Caenorhabditis elegans: one gene and its partners. The protein of the gene in region 3 purifies or fractionates together with the protein of the main gene of each other region. This does not show direct contact. Each region holds a gene or a part of one and is shown on either strand. Other genes may lie near its edges.

Region 1 (2,833 bases), 980 kb from region 3:
GATCATATTTTAGTGACATATCGACGAAGTGCTTCGAGTCTGGAAACATGTGTGAATCTTGTACAGTTTGAAGAATTGGTCCATTGCAATAGATTTGTCTAGAAAAAAAACCATTTTTCAAGAATATTTCAAAGGAAACTTACGCTAGGAGGTTGATTACAGTGTAGAGCATAATTTCCTATAGGGGATGAAGAGTACAGAGAATGTTAATGACAAGGCATTCGGTCAGACACTAATTCGAATTTGTGGGCGGAAAAATTGGCAAAATATCGTTGATTTTTCTTCTTTCTTCTCTGATGTCAGCCGAGTGCCCTCAACGTCTCGTGTCTCACAAAATGAAAAATAAATCAACAAAACATGAAAGTGTGCGGCGCCACTGCAAAAGTGCGTGCCGCAGAGTTGCAATTGGGCGGGGACTTTGGTCCCGCAGCGAAACAACTAGCAAAAATGTGTGCTCCTTTAAACGCCGCCCGCCGCTTTTTACTTGATTGTTGTGCCACGTTGCTCTTTTTAAGCTTTTTAAATATTAATATTGTTATTTTTAAAGGATTTATACTTTGCGGGACATTTATATTCGTTAAATACAGGTCATGAAAGACATTTCTCTTTTATTATACTAGCAAAAATAAAAGTCTGAATGCTTTAAATTTTATTTTTTCATGAACATGTTTCAAGATAACTAGGTTGCATTTTCTAATTCAAAATTTATGTTTTTTCGCTCCTTTCTAATATATTTTATCTTATTGTTCTGTTGTATCTCAAAGATATTAAATTAATTACAGAATGGCGGCTCAAGTAGTTCCAGTTCTCTCGAAACTGTTCGATGACTACCAAAAGACAACATCATCGAAGCTGAAAATCATTGATGCTTACATGACATACATCCTGTTCACCGGAATCTTTCAATTCATTTATTGCTTGCTCGTCGGTACATTCCCATTCAACTCGTTCCTCTCTGGTTTCATCTCCACTGTCACTTCGTTCGTTTTAGCATGTGAGTTGTTTATTCAAAAAATTTGGGTTCAAGTATATTGGCAACATGAGTATTGTTTTCAGTAATAAAAGGTTAAAACGGTGATCTTTGTTTTCCTAAAAAGGGTTTCTGGGTTTCTTAATAGATTTGCGCTGATTTAAAATGTTTGGTACTTAAGCGAAATAAAGTAAATATAAATTGTATGTTCATTTGAGTTTCGGATGGACTGCAATTTTCACATCGTATCATAAACATTGGAAATTCCAATGGGCCCCCGCTTCAGCCCTCAAATGAATTGATAATAAATAAATGTATTTTTAAGCAATTAATTCTAAACGTTAATATTTTGTTTTAGCGTGTCTCAGGATGCAAGTAAATCAAGAGAACCGCTCCGAGTTCACAGCTGTCTCGACAGAACGTGCATTTGCTGATTTCATCTTCGCAAACCTCATTCTCCATCTTGTCGTCGTCAACTTCTTGGGATAAACTCTGAAAAGCTTTAATATGTATTTATTTGTTTCAATTCCTTCCATTAATTTATTTGTGTTGCAAAATGCCACCTGGGGTTTCGTTTCTCTTGCTGTGTTACACCTAATTTAATAAAATATGTTTCTGTTTTAATTAGAAGTTTTTAGTATTCAAGAAGAAAACTGCGTTATTGTCGCAAATTACTTTTGATGTGCACATTCTCATCCAGCTGAACAATTATAAACTAATCAGGTTGAATCATGCTGTACATGAAGCCAGCTCGTTTCGTGAAGAACGCCTTCACCAACCCTAATTAGTAAGTTAAATACTAAAAACGAAGAAGTTTAAGCATAGATTGTTTATTGAAAATACTTGCCACCGCAAAAACACAAGTTTTTAACTTCATTCCGATCTTTCACATCTAAATACAAATTGTAAAATACAAAAAGCAGCCCGCTGTGGTTTAATTACCTAGTCTTCTGCGAACACTCGCAATTTATTTGTTTTGAGTGTTTATAATAATTTAAACATTTTCACAATGAACGTGGATTCGGTTAGGATGTTCTATGATTTTCTTCCAGCTTCAAGTCGTATGGAGCATACGGAGGATCCGCTTTCCTTTTGGCCATCTACTTCTGTGAATGGAAAACCGTCGGACAGTACATCCCACTCTGGAACAAGCGTTACGTCGAATAGATTAAATCCTCAACACCTATTCCGATCGTTGATTGACTTTTTTAGAATTATGAAGATGTTTATCTTCTAGAATCTTTTTGCTCGGATAAACTTTCTATTATTGGCCTCTTTTTCGTTGAAAAATAGTTTATGCACAGTCGCTTAGCGCCGGGATTTCGAAATTGTTGTGACTCATAGCGAGCCACTGAGCAGAGATAGTAATTCAGAAGAGAGACGCCGACGACTAAACTTGTTTTCGCTGTTGTTGTGTGGTCTCTTGCATGTTTTTTTACTCGTGCCGTTTTTTCTCATTCGAATCACTTGTTTCAGTCAAATTTTCAGCAATGTTCTCGATATTTATGAGAATTCCTGATACTGCTCAGGTTGATGCAGTATTTTCTGGAGCATATGCATCAATTGAACAGGGATTATGCTACGATGAGGTTAATGATTGGGTATGTTTATTATTTTGAATGAAAACTTTGAAAATAATTGTTTTTTTAAGGAAAATACTCTCGCAATGTACGAAAAAGGATTGAATTTGATCGTCGAAGGAGAGAAAATGAAAAATGCGAGGAAAAGTGAAATGTGGAAAATGTTACAAGAATCAAAATCAAGTGTCCAGCATAGGTGAGTGATTTTGAATTAAAAACGTTGATAAAACCGCGAAAAAGTACCTTTAAAGTTCACATTATTTTTTTCGACTTTTTATTTGAA
Region 2 (5,315 bases), on a different chromosome or scaffold from region 3:
ACTTTGCCGGCTTGTGTCTCAGGTTTCTTATTTTTGTTGGGCTTCGGTGTAGGCTCGGGCTTAGGCTTAGTTTTAGTCATATGCCTAATTTTAGGCTTAGGCTTAGGCTTGCGCGTAGGCTTAGGGTTAGGCTAGCTGTTAAAGTAGAATCAGATGGAAGGATATGGAGGAGAGATTTATGGTGAACGACAGTATCATTATTGAAGTTTGCGCGAACATTGTGGAGATGACTGGATGTGAGGATGATGTAGATGATTTAAACGAAGAGTTCTCTTTTATTATGTGATAGTTTGTAGAGGTTAAAATTACTCGGGTGAAAGTCATAAATAAATTTTTATGAAATTAAAAACTGCACCGTTCTAAGTCGCTCACAAGTTATGTAAATTGCTGCACTTTTGTGTTTTTTTCTAACAATTTACTGTACATTTATTGAGCCAACAAATTGATTGTTCGCCTCTTTCCGATTCAATTGGTTCTCTGCGACCAAGGAATTTTCGCCAGTGTGTAATGGAAATAACTCTCCACTAGTTACTATGGTTCCAATTTTATGTCTGTTTTGGTATGCCATGCACACTTCCGCCCCAGTACAATATATAACCATTTTTTCAAATTTACTTCTCTACCAACATTACCGCCAGAAAACAATGTTTGAAATTTATTCACAAAACAAAGCCTCAATCTCAGAATCATCATCAAAATTGTGTAGGAACTCTATTGAACATAAAAATTTTCCGATTCTGGTAATATCTGATTTGGAGGTTCTCTCTGCAACCAGGGTAGCGGAAACGCCAAACGTTCGGTAAATTTGTGGTGGGGTCGTCGATTCTGCGGAATGGCTCTCCCAAAAAGTTAACTTCAAAAATGGATTCATCAACGTCAGTGTCGGTGAACTCGGCTTTGAATTGACGGAATTTAGAAGACAATAGGAATTTCTGAAAAAAAAGTTTATTACCTATCAAACCTGCAAAACCTATCAAACCTGCAAAACTAACCTCCTTCAAATATAAAACATCTTCCATTGAAATTGCCTCCAATCTTATATCGACTTTTGCAAAGTGAATTACCGTTTTAATGCTCGAACTTGGCAGGAAAATATTGATCATAAATTCTTCTGCATTTCTCCAATGCGCCAGACTTGCGAGCTGTTCCATAAATTCATTTAAGATAAAACCAGACGGGTAGCGTCTTCTCAATTCAATTACTTTTATCGAGCTGGAGTCTGAGAGTAGAAGTATTCGAGCCATAAGCTCTAACTCGTCAGTTTCAATGGTCATTTTTTCTACTGGAAGAAAAACGACCCGTTTGATGATCCCTTCCAGCAGTTTTATCATAAATTGATTTAAAGAGATCTTCGGGGCAAGAGTCAGCAATTTGCGAATTTCACGAAATTCAGGTAACCCATTGAATGGCTTTAGGATGACACGAAACCCTTCCAAGACAGACTTCTGGTTTTCCAAAATGGTATAAAAATCGTTTGAAAAATCTCTAATATCCGCTTCAAGCATTTGCGCCTGTTGGCACATTTTGTCACTCCGTACGACAGGACGAGGAGTGTATACAATTTTTTTGTGATTGTTTCTGCCGAATACTTCCATGTAGATAACTTCAGTTTCCACGCGAATTTTTATTGCAACCAATTTGGGGTCAGGTTTGATATATTCAATGCACTGGCGAATTTCATAAGAGACTTTACGGAGCACTACTCTGAAAGTATGAGAGTTGCGCTCAGAATTTAGCAAGTTCTCTCTTACAACTCATAAAAGTCGAGGCCATGCACAATGTGCTCCATTATCACCGGGTTCCGAAAACATGATAACCACGACGTTGATGATTCCGTCCTGCTATCAATGTGGGGTTGCATTTTGCTAAGAAAATATTCCTTCATAAGACGCTGTAAAAAAATTATCCAATGTTGCATAAATTGGCTTTTTTTGCTTTAAAAAATATATATATTGTCTTTGATTCAGAAAAACCACAAAAGAAAACCAAAATAATCGCGAAAGAATCAACGATTGGTTAATGTTTTTGAATTCCCCCAAAATGAGAACTGCGACCAATCAGCGACTCGCTCCGCCCCTTTTCAAACCAATCAGACGAAGAGGGTAGAGTTCGAAGACGCTGATTGGTCTGGGAAAAGCCACACTCAATTTCGGACCAATCAGCGTCTTGGAACTCTGCACACTCTACCTGATTGGTTGGTAAAGGGGTGGAGCAAATCGCTGATTGGTCGCAGTTTTCATTTTGGAGGGAATTCAAACAGGGAAAAACTGTTGGTTTTTAAAATTCTTTCGCGATTCAAATTTTTGATTGATTCTTAGGAGCACATTTTTTCCCCTCTAACAAAGAGTTACTCACCTGAACAGGCCACAACTTATCTCCATCTGAAAATTGACGCGAGGGAGTTAAAATTTTGAATCCTTTGGATTTGTGCACAAATTCTAGATCATTTTGAATAAATCGAACTTCCTCACCAGACTGATTGATTCGTTTTTCACCTATCAAATTGTTCAAAAATGATTCTGTAACGTCTTCGTCCAGACAAACGTAGTAAATTATAAAAGTGTGAAGACGTGACGCACTGGAAGCATTCTGCAAATTCTTGAAATAGAAAATAGTTTCAAAACTTTAAGTTCTACCTTTACAAGCGTCGTTATGTCATCTGTAGATATTCTTGAAGCTTTACAAAATGCAAAGTCAAAATGGCGAAAATTGTCAAATGGTATGGAAACAATGAAGCCGAAAAGTTCAATGATTTTTGCATTTTTCCAATGCTCCATCTTCACAATGTCTTCTAAATCTAGCGTATTTCTGTTCGAACCGGAAATATGCAATCTTAGCAATTTGCTTGGATTAAAACATTTTAAGGCGAATCGTAGTTGAGAAACATGATCTGCTTGCAGGTGGAGCGTGCAAGCAAAGAGTTCCGTCGTGTTAATCCGAAATTGTTCATAAACCCGATTCACAAACGGTTCGCTGTCCACATAATCTGAGTCAAAGTAGTCTACTCGCACTTTGATATTTTCGGCGAACCTCGAGCTTTTCAAGATATTTGCCAAGTCTTCGCACACAACATCAATGTAGTTTTTCTCTTGCAGAAGGATTTTCTTGTATTGTGCCAATTCGAGTTGCGTGTCGTCTTCTTTATATCTATATATTATTGTAGACCTATTTGGATATTCCTCAAATTCCAATCTGAGTTCTACAAAATGATTGAAAGCAAGACGTAGAGATAACACGGTTAGAGTCGACTCGTTTGCGATTCCTAGCAATTTGAATGCATATGACATTGATTTCTGAAAAATTAGATAATTAGAACTTTTCAGAGAATTCAAGATTTTTTTTAGTCTTCCAAAAGGTTCTGGAATATTTTTCTAATTTCCAGAATTTTTGAATTTCCTGCAAAAACTTGTAAGAACAAATCTAAATTCAAGTGCGTAGTATGTTGGGGGCTGTAAAAAAAGGAACCTTAATAATAATGAAGATGTACGCAGGATGCTGGTCTAGTTCAAGCAAAGTTCAATAAAATATGTGTAACAATGACAAAATGTAAAAATAATTGATTATTTATTCAAATATTATTTGAGGAAATATTCTAGAAAATATAAAATAATTTAAATTAGAAAGAAAAAAGCAAAATTTGCTTTACAGCATAATAAATATTACCATTATAGCGGAGCCCGATTTTGCATTATAACTCTAAAAAATACAAATAAAAATACAACCTCAACCAAATGTAGTCCTTATCAGATTTTCACGTGGTTGTCTATTGTCATGAAAAAGTCAGTCCCCTTATCAGTAAACACTTTTGAGCGTACGAAGAGATCGATATTCATAACCTTCTGCCTGCTTACATTTGTATGCTATTTGATATATTTTACAGTCTTTAAATATTTTCTTTCCTGCTATTATCTCTCTAAATTTTCAATTTTTCAGATAGCAATGTCATATGCATTCGAATTGTTGCAAGTCTTAAACAATGACGCTATAAGGGAATTAACAATTTTCGCGTCAAAGAACGATTTTGTGCAACTTGGACTAAAATTTGAAAGTCTTGTGAAAAAGGTCAATATATTTTATATTTATAAAGAAGAGGATACACTATTAGGAGTAACAAGATACAACAAGCGGCTAGTTGAAGACAAAAACTACATTGATGTGGCGCGCGAAGACTTATTTCATTTTTTGACAAATGCCAGATTTGGGGAAGATATCGAAATTTGTATACGATACAACCACCACAATGAGGAAACCGTAGGAATTGCGAATTGTGTTTATGAACAGTTTAAAAATCATTCACAAACGACAAAAAATCCAATTTATGCTCGCTCACTCCATTTACAATTTGAAAATGTCTCTCAGCTGCATTCCATATTAACATCTTTCAATCCAACCAGTATAAAAGAATTGAGAATCTTCAATTTTAAACGGGTTAAAAAGATATTAGATTTTGGAAGTATTGTGGAAATGGATCATTGGAAGAATGCAAAGATAATTAGCCTTTACGGTTTCTTTGTTAACATACCTTTTGAAAACTTCAGCCACTGCGAAGATGTAACATTGAAAGTCAAGCGTATTTCAGCAGATGACATACAAACGCTTGTGAACGTAACGTGAGCAATTCTGAAAAACAATATATTTGAAACAGTTGCAGATTTGTTCCATCTCCCCAAGTTCGAGACATTTTCATATTGACTACAGCTGTTTGAACAAACACGTCACAGAACAATTTTTGGACAAGTTATATGGTGAACAGCAAATAAATAAGTCTGGGAAACTAGTTCGATTGATTGAAAATAAGATCGAGTTTGTCCACGAATCGTTTTGCAAGTCAATTTATATTTATAAAATCTCTGATAAGAACGATGTGAGTATGGAGGTAGGTAATTGATAAACTATTGTAAATTATGTACATCGACGCTTAATTTAGTTTTTCAATTTTGACTCTACACAAATTCCTATTTCAGACTTCTAAAGTACTAACCAGTCTGCCATCAAAATCAGCGATGTTATGTTTATCCAACCGACTGATTATGGAAAAAATTGTTCGACATTTTGATTTTGCTGAATTGTAAGTCCAGCCCAATTTGTTCATTTTTAGAAACAAACGACGTATGTTTCAGGGTAGTGCTTCGTAGAGTTTCTCGTGGAAGTCGTCGTTGTGTTGATTTCCTTAAGCCAGACCCCAAATTGGTGGCAATGAACATTACGATGAAAACTGCATACATAATAGTTGACGTGTTTGGCAGATACAATAACACATCAATTTTATATAAATATCCTGGTACACGTGTAGCCACTTCCTTTTTGAAAATTGA
Region 3 (3,487 bases):
GATTGGAGTCGGTCGTATTAGTTGTCCAGGAAGTTCCTTGATTTTCATTTTTTGATCTTTAGAGTTATCAATAGACATAACTTTTTTAGATTTGTCAAAGGAATTTGTCGAATTGAAAGTCCAATCTTCGATCGTCTTGTTTTGCAGTAGACCTTTCTCGACCTGATTTGAAATGTTTTGGGACACTTTTGAAATCGAATTTTTATCAATTATTAATGAAGATAAACGCTTCGTTGGAGGTGGTGGGAGCGGATCTTGTGGTTTTGAACGCAATGGATAATGTTCAACAAGGCCCCGTACATGATGACTTGGTGGTTCTGGAGTTGGTTCTTGCGGAACTTCTTCGATTGAAAAATCCCAATTTTCAATAGGATCTGTTGGTTTCTCTATTTGAATGCTGGGAATAACTGCTACGGAAGATGGTAGAATACGTGACGCAGTAGGCACCAAAGACTGTTTCACCGGAACCTGTAATTTTCAGAACTGTTTTTAAGCCATTGAAAGAAGTGTAGTGGAACTAGATTAAATACTTACAGTGACCTCTCCCGTTATTCGACTTGTTTTGACTAAAAATGGAGAAAGCGATGATTGATTAAGGGAAAGATTTTTCTTGTCTATTTGTTTCTTGTTATTTCGTGATACAGAAGCAGCAGCGTTTTCCAGAGATGCTCTGAAAATTGAATTTACTAGAAGAATTAAATCAAGCTAAGATGATGTCTGATTTCTAATGTATCTAAGTGATAACTTACTTTCTTCGTTTCTTCTCCGCGTCTAAGTCAACCTTCAATGCATTTGATAATTGTGCCACTTTATCAAAACTTAGTGATTCCACTCGGCCGCCCAGAAAAGCACAATTAGATTTATCCAGTAGAAGATTTCCACGACGACATTTAACTTTTCCTGTGAGAATAATCTTTGCACCGGGTAGCATAATTTTTTCATCAAATACTTCGTCTAACTCGATTGCTTTCAAAGTATTCACACCATCGGTGAGCTCAATTTTCAGCATTCCTCGTTTCTTAATTGCATTTTTCGTCTGCGTATGATTCATGCGATCAGAGGCCACATCTTTTTCTTTGTCGCGATTTTCTTCTTCGTGATCAGCTTTGGATCCGCCATGAAACCAAGCCAAATCTTCGTTGTGTCGAGTACATTCTGACAATTGCTCGTACAAGGATGTTGATATATTCGTGGAGGAAATAACCTAAAAATATTCCTGTTGATTTTCGGCAGATCTTCAAACTAATAACCTGGAAAATCATTCTTTTAACAATGACAACTTTTACTGCGCTCGTTGGGATTTTCATGGTGGGATCCAAAGCTTCGGATATTTTTGAATTCAAAAACTGTTGTATGACAAGTTCACCAATCTGCTTCACATCAACAGTTTTAATTCTTTGTCCGAGTGATCCTTCGATATACTGGACGCATATTCTTAGCCATTCTCTCTTGAATGGGTAATGTTTCCTAGCAAGCCAAGAGAAAAGACGATCAAGTTCAGTTTCTTTCATATATTTTGTAGTTTTTATATGCGTTCGCTCTGCAAATACCAACAAAAAATAATGAAAATGTGTGTAACATTGAATAAGAAAACAAATTTGTTAACAAAAAAATGTAAGAAATGCGTTTAAAACCTTGAAGCGCCGCCAAATGTTTGATGTGCAGGTACGCTGGTTACGGTCGTACGGGACCACAGGCCCGCGAGCGTTTATCACTTAATCTGTCATTTTTCGACTTTTTTCTTTTCTTCTGCACGCCGTCGACCCTTGAAGCTTCAGTCACTCAATGTAGTCTTGTTTTTCAGTACCTCAAGTGCTAAGAGCAACTACGGCGAAAATGTCGGACACTGCGAATACTGCTGTCGAAGTAGATGAGCAAGTCATCGAAAAGAAACTCGACGATCTCTCCATCGGCAAGAAAAGATCGCCAAGCAAGGATGATACAAGCAAGCATGTAAGTTTTTTTAAAACTCACTTCTTTGGGAACTACCATTGACTGTTTTGAAGTAGTTCGTTTTCTTTATGATGCATGACGTGCTAATGTACAACATTTACAATTTTATGATTTTTAGCGTCTGCCAGCTGCCGAGCGCATACGCATTTGGGAGGAGGAGCAGAAGGCGAAGATTGTTCTTACCGCTGGACTTCAAGGAAAGGTGAAGTGGTACTCTGTACTTCGTCGCTATGGGTTCATTTCCCGTAGTGATGGAGAGAAGGATGTCTTCGTTCACCAAACAGCTATTTCCAAATCGGACACTGAGAAATTTTACCTTCGGACACTTGCCGATGAGGAGGAAGTGCTCTTCGATCTGGTCGATGGTAAGAATGGACCTGAGGCTGCAAATGTCACCGGACCAGCCGGGGTGAATGTTTCTGGATCGAAGTGAGTTATTGATTGACAAGTAAAGTTGGAAAACTAGTTACTTTAGATATCGCCATCAGCTTCTCTCTCGCTTCCGTAAGAATCGTAAACCGAAAATCGTTGTTGGAGAGGATTTTGATTCAAAGGAAACTGAAAAGCTTGTCGAGGCTCCGGCAGTAGCAATGGAGAAAAAGAAGCAAAGAAAGCAGCGTAAGAATAAAAACCGCAAACAGAAGGACCAGAAGGGAGCAGGTGATGCTGCCGACTCTTCTGCTACTACTGAATCTCTCGGGACCTCTTCCGAAACTGCTTCTCCGGACTCGAAATCCTGCACCAAGATCATCTCTGAGGAAGCTGGACTCTCCAAGATCGATCGTTGCGATTCTGCTCTCGACGATGCTGGCCTTGGTGCTCAGTTGATTGATGCTCAGATCTAAATTTCATTGCTTTGTGTTCCTGAATCTTTTGTACTTATTTATATAGCACAGAATTCTAGATCCCCGTTTCCTGCATGTTTTTATGTCCCCAAATCTGTTATTTTGTGTCAGCCTGTAAAGAGAAGTGTTCTTATAATAAACCGAAAGTCGGCAAAGTAAATAATTCTCTTCATCACCCGCATTACGATCTAATTTGTTTGGTATCGATTCTTACTTCTAAACGGTTCTCGAGCTTCATCTAGTTAGGTTTTTGAAAACGGAAATTTCAGAATTAGCTTTGGAAAAACTAGCGTAGGTATTTCCATTCGATGTTTGCTAAAGGTATAAATTTGCCGCGATAAGCAATAAAATAATTTGAGTTTTCTCCAACCATCTGATAGTGTGAAATTTGTCGTTGCGATAACTTTCAAAAACAGAAATAAAATCAATTATCAGTAGTCTTCAGCGTCGGTTTCTTATTATACCCGTTGAGTTTTGATCGATAGTAATAATTTTGGTCAGAAAATTATTGCAGTTTTTGATGTATACAATATTTTTTACGGTGTCCAAACACTTACGCCGCTCTGTAATACTAACGGAATACGAATTCTTTAGGTTAAGGGCAACTAGAAAAGAAGTCATATAATAGTTTCAAAACAGCAAAGTACATTTTTATTGAAACGCGGAACTTACACGCATAATAATCCTCT

What was found.
Region 1: the proteins of cey-3 (region 3) and ucr-11 fractionate together in Caenorhabditis elegans (co-fractionation; one large-scale study listed by BioGRID). This does not show direct contact.
Region 2: the proteins of cey-3 (region 3) and C52E2.4 fractionate together in Caenorhabditis elegans (co-fractionation; one large-scale study listed by BioGRID). This does not show direct contact.

Annotation. Positions count from the first base shown.
Region 1 is NC_003279.8:6,552,240-6,555,072, reverse strand, and holds ucr-11 (Cytochrome b-c1 complex subunit 10), read left to right. Parts: upstream 1-1,693; 5' UTR 1,694-1,701; coding exon 1,702-1,757; intron 1,758-2,022; coding exon 2,023-2,137; 3' UTR 2,138-2,239; downstream 2,240-2,833. Other genes in the region: tre-1 (Trehalase), read right to left, coding at 1-98, 144-172; Dolichyl-diphosphooligosaccharide--protein glycosyltransferase subunit dad-1, read left to right, coding at 784-994, 1,329-1,459; spg-20 (Inheritance of peroxisomes protein 1), read left to right, coding at 2,461-2,571, 2,622-2,746.
Region 2 is NC_003280.10:1,841,561-1,846,875, reverse strand, and holds C52E2.4 (DUF38 domain-containing protein), read right to left. Parts: upstream 3,732-5,315; 5' UTR 3,664-3,731; intron 3,294-3,663; 5' UTR 3,288-3,293; coding exon 2,637-3,287; intron 2,590-2,636; coding exon 2,356-2,589; intron 1,892-2,355; coding exon 1,752-1,891; intron 1,705-1,751; coding exon 993-1,704; intron 933-992; coding exon 693-932; 3' UTR 639-692; downstream 1-638. Other genes in the region: C52E2.5 (F-box domain-containing protein), read left to right, coding at 3,940-4,605, 4,652-4,876, 4,965-5,068, 5,121-5,315.
Region 3 is NC_003279.8:5,571,267-5,574,753, reverse strand, and holds cey-3 (CSD domain-containing protein), read left to right. Parts: upstream 1-1,804; 5' UTR 1,805-1,836; coding exon 1,837-1,953; intron 1,954-2,071; coding exon 2,072-2,382; intron 2,383-2,428; coding exon 2,429-2,798; 3' UTR 2,799-2,958; downstream 2,959-3,487. Other genes in the region: rmh-1 (RecQ-mediated genome instability protein 1 homolog), read right to left, coding at 1-468, 535-670, 750-1,204, 1,251-1,511.